Oryctolagus cuniculus: one gene and its partner. The protein of the gene in region 2 purifies or fractionates together with the protein of the main gene of each other region. This does not show direct contact. Links are inferred from orthologs where the notes say so. Each region holds a gene or a part of one and is shown on either strand. Other genes may lie near its edges.

Region 1 (4,150 bases), on a different chromosome or scaffold from region 2:
TGATTTATTTCCAGGGTTGGCAATGCATCAGGAAATCTCCATCAACCTAAGTATACTCATCCCCAGGCTGACCCTGTTCTAGAACATGGGAACTGGGTGGGGAATCGGGTTTAAGAGACTATCCTTTGGGTCTAAACAGTCTTTTAACGACTTCCCCTGAAGACAGCTGAGCTCAAACCCACTTACCTCTCCTGTCAGGAGGAGTCAGGGTACATGATGCTCAACTCTCAGTGGCTTTGTGCCACCATTATTTGTGTAACTGTTTTCTACTTTTAAAAGAAATTGCATTTTACAGTTTCTTTCATTTAAAAATTCACTAGTTCCTAGTCTTTTCAAGTACCTCTTCAAACCCTGAAAACTTAGTTTTTGCAGTTTATGAGATTATAGCAATTTTGAGATGGAGAACCCCTAAGAAAGAGTGGAGGAAAATGCCCTTTATACATGATCAGATATGCTCAGAAAGTACAGATTAAGAAGGAAATGCAATGGAGCAAAAGTGGTATAGTAGCAGGAAATATTTAATTTTCCAATCTCCACTTTCCATTTTTATAAACTGAAAGAAAAAAATTTAATATATTACAAAATATCTGTACATAGACAAAGTACACCCGATGGGGGGCAAAAACAAGAGAGAGAAAGGAATACAGTGTCAGGAACCTAAGTCAGGGAAAATGAGGTGGCAACTGACACTTTTCTGATGCAGCATTCTCTCTCAAAACCTGCTGGTAACCATTGTAGCACTGTAACTATATATGCATATTATATACATACACACATACAAGTGGCTGGGTGATGTCTATGGCATAAGCTAACAGAAGTCCTACTTACAAATTTGTGCTAACTGCCCTGCTTTAAACATATAGATCTGATGTCATTTTCAAATCCTTATTGTTTCTATGGACAGCTGAAGAAAAAAAAATAAAAACAACTGGGTCAAGCAAATTTGTTTCAAAACCACAAAAATGATCATGGTCAAACCAGTTTTGCCTCTTATTCGTGAACAGAATTAGATTTCTCATCTGTTCAAAATAATGTATTTAATAGCCTTGATATCTTCCAAGGTACAATTAAAATAAAACCAAAACCACTTTTGAATGGAATTAATTCGGTTTGTAATTTTCAGAGAGCCAAGATGAAATTCTGCCAAACCTTTACTTCCATCACATTTATAGATAACATGGCTGAAAAGTGACCAAATACCTTTTCTTCCTCCACAGAGATTCCAGGATATTAAAGGAGTTTCTCTTTTTCTCTGGTTTTAGAAATAGTCAAATTACCAAACTTGCTTTTTTTTTTTCCTTTTTCCTTTTAAAAGTTAAGACTCCCCAAATGGGGGTGGGGTGAGATGGAATCATGTATACACATACACACACTCACACATACATCCATCCCTAGCAGGGATGGGAGAATGGAGGCTTAAGTATATTATTTAGAATATTTGGCATAATTAAAAATTAGGGGTAGAAAAGGGAGGGGGAAAATTATTGATGATTGTTGACAACCAAAATACAATGAAAACATATAAAATTTTATTCATATCTGGTGGGAAACCAATTTTTTTCACTGAACAGATACTTTTGAAAGTATCTGAGGCTCAGGCTCTTTAATCAAAAACAGGGGACTGGGGCCCAAGCCCTCTAATTGAAATATTCTAAAATATAAAGGCCCACATCTGAAGACTATTCAGAAGTCGACAGAAGATTCAGATGAACTTTATTGTAATTAACCAATAGCATTTCAGTGTGCCTGGCAAATCTAACTGGACATACTTGCATAAAAAGTCACCAACGCCAAAATGGCTAGGTTCTCTTTCTAATCGATGTTTGGCCCCGAGGGCAAGGGCAGACCAAAAACCAAATAATAATAAAGAAATACACACACCAGTAACTACCTATTACGATTCACGGGAAAAGTCTTCATGTAAGTATCTGAAGTGGGTTCTTCTTTTCTTTATAAAGTTTTCTTTTGTTAATTGATGCACCTTTCTCTTATACGCAGATTTTATTTAATATAAGAACTTGGCATTGCAACACAAACCTTTACTTAGGTTTTGGAAACTATCCTCCAAGATGCTGAAGTATGTTTTTGCCTTTTCTTTGTAAGAGAGCTAACCTAAGCTTCATGCAATAAGTCTGTGCAGACAGATTGTATGACATGTCACATTCTGTATGCTGGTACTCACGAAGAAATGGAAGACAGAACGAGAAGCCTCCCAAATTATTCAACCCTGAGAGTCGTTCTCTTTTCCATTTCCTGTTTATAATAAGGCCAAGTTCTTGCCAGGAAGTCATACTTTAACCCCCTTTACCACCAGAACCAAAACCAAATCTCTCCAGTGAAAAATCTCTAAAAGAATTGGCAGGATATACATGGCTGGGATGTGTATATGTCAATACTGTTCTTTCTCTCAATAAGCTGTTTTAAAACTATCTCTTATAAAAGGTATCTTCAGAAAAATACCCACCCTAAACTAGGTTACATTTCCACATATTTTCAGGATGTATTTTTTTTCTTTGACAATATCACAATGCTTGGTTTGAAAGGTTTTTTTTTTTTTTTTTTTTGGACATAAAAATATATGTGTAAACAATATACTAACTGCTCTTATTAGCCCTCTACGTTGGAGGCTTCATCTCTAACCACAGCTCAACAGCAAAGTCCTAGGCTGTCCACATTTACAATCAACTTCCCCATCAGAACATGGTTTTTAAAAAACATTTTACAAAGAACAATGTAGGAGTTTGAATTTCCTTTCCTTTATTTAAAAAAAAAAAAGAATTATTCCAGGTTCTTTGGCATCTTAATGATTTTTTTCCAAACAAATTACTCAAAATGGGAGGGAATGGAGGAGAGGCAGAAAGAGAAACAAAGATGGAGAGGAAAAGGGGGAGGGGAGAGAGGGAGGATGGGAGAGGGTAGGAGGAGAGTAAGAGGGAAGGAGAGAATATATAAATATAAATAAAAAACAGAAATAGATAGAGTAAGTCTACCTACTTGCCCAAGAATGCCACCTTCTACAACCTGGTTTATGTGCAGGGAGAGGGGCACATCTTTTTTTCAAAGTGGAGGGAACTATAAGAATGAGTAATTTATTTGGAAAAAAGATGTGTTCAAGATGCTCAATGGGGAAAAATGTGTTCACTTAAAAGCAAAAATGTGAAATGGTGGAGAGGAAGAAAACATTTATTTCAATCAGCCAGGCCACTCTGTTTTCCTTTTAACAAAAGCCTATGAGCAGCTCAAATTTTGTGAACACTATTCTCTTCAAAAGAAAATAACCCCGAAACCCAAAAACAACCCAATCTACAATTTAAAAGAAACCACCAAAAGAGAAAAAAGTCCCAAAACTTTAAAAACCAAATGGATCCTCTCCTGAGCCATCTCAAAACTGAAACTGTTCTCTCTTCTGCTCAAGAAGTGCAGTCAATAGCTAATAAAACATTTGCTTTTTAATTTAATGACTCTTTTTCACATTCTCTACTGTATCTACTAGGTAGAGCTGAAATTCTGGCTGTCACCCATCCAGGAGGAACTGGTGCCAACATCCTTATAGGTCACTTGCTTCTAGCAAGTGAGCAAGAAATACACTGGACAGCTTCGCACTAGCCAAATGCAGATGACTACCTCCCTCTGGCAAATGATTTCATTAAAGGTTTTGAGGACTGGATGGAAGGATGAATAGGGAAAGAATATTTCAGGACACTGAAGTCTCTGGGTTAGTAAGGAACTCCTCTCCCTCTTCCCCCTCTTGGAGGAACTCTTGTAGGCCCCCGATAGAGTTTTCCATAAGCAGAAGACTGAGCTGGGGCCACCCAGGGAAGGCCTGCTCCTGAGCTGCTGGCCACAGTGGTTCCTGGCCCCAGCTCCCCATAGTTTTGTAATTTGGTCTCTGCATGTACGACAGAGTTGCTGCTTCCCTCAGCCTTCAGGAATGGTTGCCCGACCACTGAGTGTAATGCTAAGGGGACCCTGGCAAAACGAAGGTCCTGGTCACCTGGGAACTGCACTGACCCTGTGCCCTGGTAACTGCTGGACTCCCCAAGGTGGCTCACAGAGCCTGAGAAGGTCCTGTTCTTCACCAGGGTCTGGACCAAGGATTCTGTCAAGGCTGGACCAGAGTTGCGTTCATCAGTGTCAGTGGCACTGAACC
Region 2 (4,096 bases):
CCGCCCTGTGGCTGCCGGAGCACTCGGCCGCGCGAGCCGCTCTCCCAGCCAGAGACAGCGCCTCGGCCGGCCGCTGGCCCTTCACCAAGACGGCAGGCACGGCAGCCCCGGGGCCTCACTTGGCGAGGCAGGACTCCACGCCGGGAAGCCCGCATAGACACGGCCTGGCGCGCCAAAGCCGCTTCCAACCTGCCGTAGCCTGGAGCTGAGCGCACTCGCTCAAAATAATGGACATCGCCGCCGCAGCTCCGGTGTTAAACACCGGCAGGGTCAATTTTGAGAAAAAAATAGGAGGTGGGGGAGTGGGAAGAGGAGGAGGAGGAGGAAGAGGAGGGAGAGGGAGAGGAGGAGGAGGAAGAGGGAGAGGAAGAGGGAGAGGAGGAGGGAGAGGAGGAGGGAGAAGAGGAGGAAGAGCTTTTACTCGGGATGAAACTCGCGCTCCGGCGGCCGGCGGAGTCCACACGGCCCCGGGGGGACCCCCAGCACCGGGGGCCAGGCCCGGACGCACCCTCGCCGGAGGGCGACCTCTCGGGGCGCGCAGGGGCTGGAGCAGGCGCACACTTCGGGAGTCCGCCGCCGCGCCGAGGGCCAGCCGGGCAGGGGCCGCGCCGCCCCCGAGGCCCGGCGGAGCCCGGGGAGCCCGGGGAGCCAGGGCTGCGCGCCGCGGCGGCCGCGGGCAGGAAGCGAGAGTTTACCACCGGAACGCCCCGCTCGGGCCCCTGGCGGACGCCGGCCGGCGCCGACCTATTTCCCGGGCGGTCTCGCCAACTGCGCGGCCCGGGGGCCCCGAGCGTCGGGAGGGAGCGCGACCCCACCTCCACAGCCTCCGCCGGCAGGAACGGGAGCGCGGCGTCGCCGCACGCGGAGCCCGCGGCCGGGGCTGCCCGCTGCACCTGCCGCCGCCTCGGGACTCGTGGGCGCGCCCGCCCGCTGGGCCTCAGGGCGGGGGCCCTGCCCGCTCGCACCCGCCGCGCCGGGGCCCGCAGCGGCCGGCTGGGGCGCGGGCCGGACCTGGGCCGAGGGGCAGCGGCCGGGAAGCGCTCGGGGGCCGAGGCGCCGGCCACCTCCGCGGCCCGTGCCCGCGGAGACGCCGCCCCGACACTCACCTGCCCGCTTCCCCTTCCGCGCAGCGCGGCGCCTCACTCGCGCTCGGACCCCACCGTCCGCCTCAACCAACCCGGCGGCGGCGGCGGCGGCGGCCGGACGGGAGGGCGGGACGGCGGCCTGAGACGGCCCCGCAGCCGCGGCCCAACCCGGCTCCGCCCGCCCCCGGACTCCGCCCCCGGGCCGCCGCCGCCGCCGCTCATTGGCCCGCGCCGCGCACGCATGGGCGCGGCTCCGCCCCGCCGCCGGGCCGCCGTTCCGCCCGGGATCCTCCGCAGCCATTGGGCTGGTGGCTCCCGGGGGCCAGAGCGGCCAGATCAGCCGCCGCCAGCCCCGAGACCACCATTGGCTGGACTGGGTCCACGCCATAGCTCTGATTGGACAACTGGCGGCTCGGGCCCCGCCTTCGCACCCAAGTTCCGTTAGCAGGTTCGGTTGCTCCCGAATTCCCTTTCGCCATGGGGGGCGGGGCCGTCGGGCCGGGCACTTTGGCTGGCTCCTCCCCCTGCACGCAGCAGCTGCTTACCGCGGGGTGGGCGGGGAGCAGAGCCCCCGGCTCGCTAGTTTTTTTGGGAGTTCTACTTTCTTCTGATTGGTTGGCAGGCGCCTGTGCGCACCGCTCCTCCGGTCGCTCGTTTTACGTTGCGCGACGCAGCGCGATGACGTAGAGTTCCCAGCATTCCACATCCAAGATGGCCGCGGTCGGCAAGGAGAGACGTAGCTAAGGGGCTTGCCTGAGGCGAGGGGTGAGTGTCCTACCGACTGCGGGCTGTACCGCCCCGCTCCCGCTCACCCGGGGGTCGGAGCAGGGTGTGGCCACCCGCCTCCGTCCGCGCGCGGAGTCTCTCTTCCCTGATTCCGGACCCCGCCTCTCGCCTCCTGTGCACGCTGAAGTTGGCGGGCTTCGGCAGAGGGGCTGAGGCGCAGGGGCCGGACGGGGACTCGGGGTGGGCCCTGGAGCGGGCAGCCGCGCTCCCTGCGCGGTCCGGTTGGGGTTCCAGGAGCTCCCTGCGGTGGCGGAACCGGGCAGGGGTTGCAGCCGCGGACCGCCCACGCTCCCCGCAGCGGACCCTGGACGCAGCGGGGGTGGGCCGGCGGGATGGGAAGAGGCACTTCCGCGATGAGATTCGGGTTGGTTTGTTAGCTCAGGAACTCGGGGCGTGGGTCCGGGGGTTAGCGAGGGCGCTGACAGCTGTGGCCCGTTCAACGGAGCTCTTGCAGACCCCGGGAGGTTAGGGACGACTGACCGGGGCCGTTGCTGTCCGGCCTGTCGCGTTTTTAAGGTGGTACCTCGAGCGAAACCGCCCTTCAGCGAGTGACGCATTAGTCGTGCGTGTTGGTGGATTCTTGCCTAAGTCGTGTTTCACGCGTGTGCTGTTTGGAAAATGCAGTTTGCACCAGCAAGCAATAAAGAAACATTTGAATTGTTTATGCGATTCTTAAGATTTGAATGCTCTTTTTAAGTTCAGTCTCATAAAGCAAAAAAAAAAATCACTCGTAGTTTTGGAGTAAGGAATGAGCTTCGTTTTGGGAGACTGTGGAAAGCGGTGAGTTTGCTGAGTGTCTGAAGGAAGGGAAATGAGGACTGGGCGAGGACAAATACCTGCCGGGTCACTGAGACGGCGGAGCGGATCTGGTTGGGTCGCCTCATTCCCGGGTTTAAGCGCAGATGAAGTTGCGCACGCGGAGGGGCAGAGTCGGTTGTATACGCTTGTCCGTGGCTTTGGAGGAGCCCCAGATGTGCAGTTGTGATGGAAAACTGAGCTCCGGGGCGTGTCCGTTCTCTCGGAGACGGCTCCCGGGCGCTGCTTTGTCACCCGTTGTAGAATCTCCCGCAAGCGCTTGGGAAAGGAGAGCGGAGCCCCTCGGGCCTGCGGGGCCGGGTGACTCAGGCCCTGGTGGTGGCTGCGGGATTGCTGGACATTTGGGCGGCTTGGCTGACGTTGTAGTCGGATGGATGGGCGTCCGCTCAAATTACCAAACCCGAAGCATTTGGATGTGAGTGTCGTCCTGAAGAAGAACGACACTACATTTACAAAAACTTAAATTTACACCGAAATTTGCAAAATCTCAGTTGTGAGTATTTGAGATGAGGAGGAACTGGCTTGACAGGAAATGGTTCCGGGTTGTGGTGCTCCGTTCTGGAGGTAAAGTAGTGGCTGCACTGAGGGAAGGCAGTATCTCAGTCTGAAGTGAAGCAAATTGTGACTGCCGTTCGCCAGCGGTGTGCACCGGGCAGGTTACTTCGTGTCTCCTCGGCTGGTTTTCTCCGGGATCAGCTGTAAGGGTAAGACAGGTAACTTGCCCCATAGCTGCAGCTCTGCGGACACACCGTGGACGTGTTACTCTCAGACCACCTGTTACATAGATCTTACAGAGTTTCTTTTTTTCTCATTTTGATGGCTAATATTTAGAGAAGACCTAGAAACCCTGAGAACCCTTATGGAAAAATGGTTAATTTGTTTACCTTGGAGAAAAGAGGGGTAGGCAAAATTGTCTTCATATATTTCAAAGGCAATCATTAGGTCAGAGAAACTGTTTCCAAGGCTTTAAAAGTCTCTAGGTGGGAGTGATGGAGAGTTCTTACAAGGTAGTTATTTTGTGCCATCTATGTAGCAGATCTAGGGAAGGAACGGAACACACAGAGATCAATATAGGGCTGGTCCTGGTGTGGCAGGTTAAGGTTCCACCTGCAACATCCCATGTGGGCACTAGTTCAAGACCCGGCTGTCCCACTTCCAATCCAGCTCCCTGCTAAGGTGCTTGGGAAAGCAGTAGAAGATGGCCCACCCGGCACCCACACTGGAGACCCAGCAGAAGCTCCAGGCCCAGCCCCAGCTGTTGCAGCCATTTAGGGAGTGAGCCATCCGATAGAGGATTGAGCCCTTTCTCTGTAGAGCTCCCTTTCAAATAAGTAAAACATAAGTACTTTTTTTTCCCACAGTCCAGTAATTTATTTTAAATTGGAATAACTTCAGATTCCACAAACAAA

Evidence for each region.
Region 1: the proteins of CCNK (region 2) and CDK12 purify together in Homo sapiens (affinity purification with mass spectrometry; 6 studies listed by BioGRID and IntAct, with this or other methods). This does not show direct contact. The link is inferred for Oryctolagus cuniculus from reciprocal best matches to the Homo sapiens genes CCNK and CDK12.

The regions. Positions count from the first base shown.
Region 1 is NC_091448.1:22,835,517-22,839,666, forward strand, and holds the end of CDK12 (cyclin-dependent kinase 12), read right to left. Parts: coding exon 3,717-4,150; 3' UTR 501-3,716; downstream 1-500. UniProt on the Homo sapiens protein: Cyclin-dependent kinase that phosphorylates the C-terminal domain (CTD) of the large subunit of RNA polymerase II (POLR2A), thereby acting as a key regulator of transcription elongation.
Region 2 is NC_091451.1:43,336,151-43,340,246, forward strand, and holds the start of CCNK (cyclin-K), read left to right. Parts: upstream 1-1,290; 5' UTR 1,291-1,533; intron 1,534-1,630; exon of another isoform or gene 1,631-1,850; intron 1,851-4,096. UniProt on the Homo sapiens protein: Regulatory subunit of cyclin-dependent kinases that mediates activation of target kinases.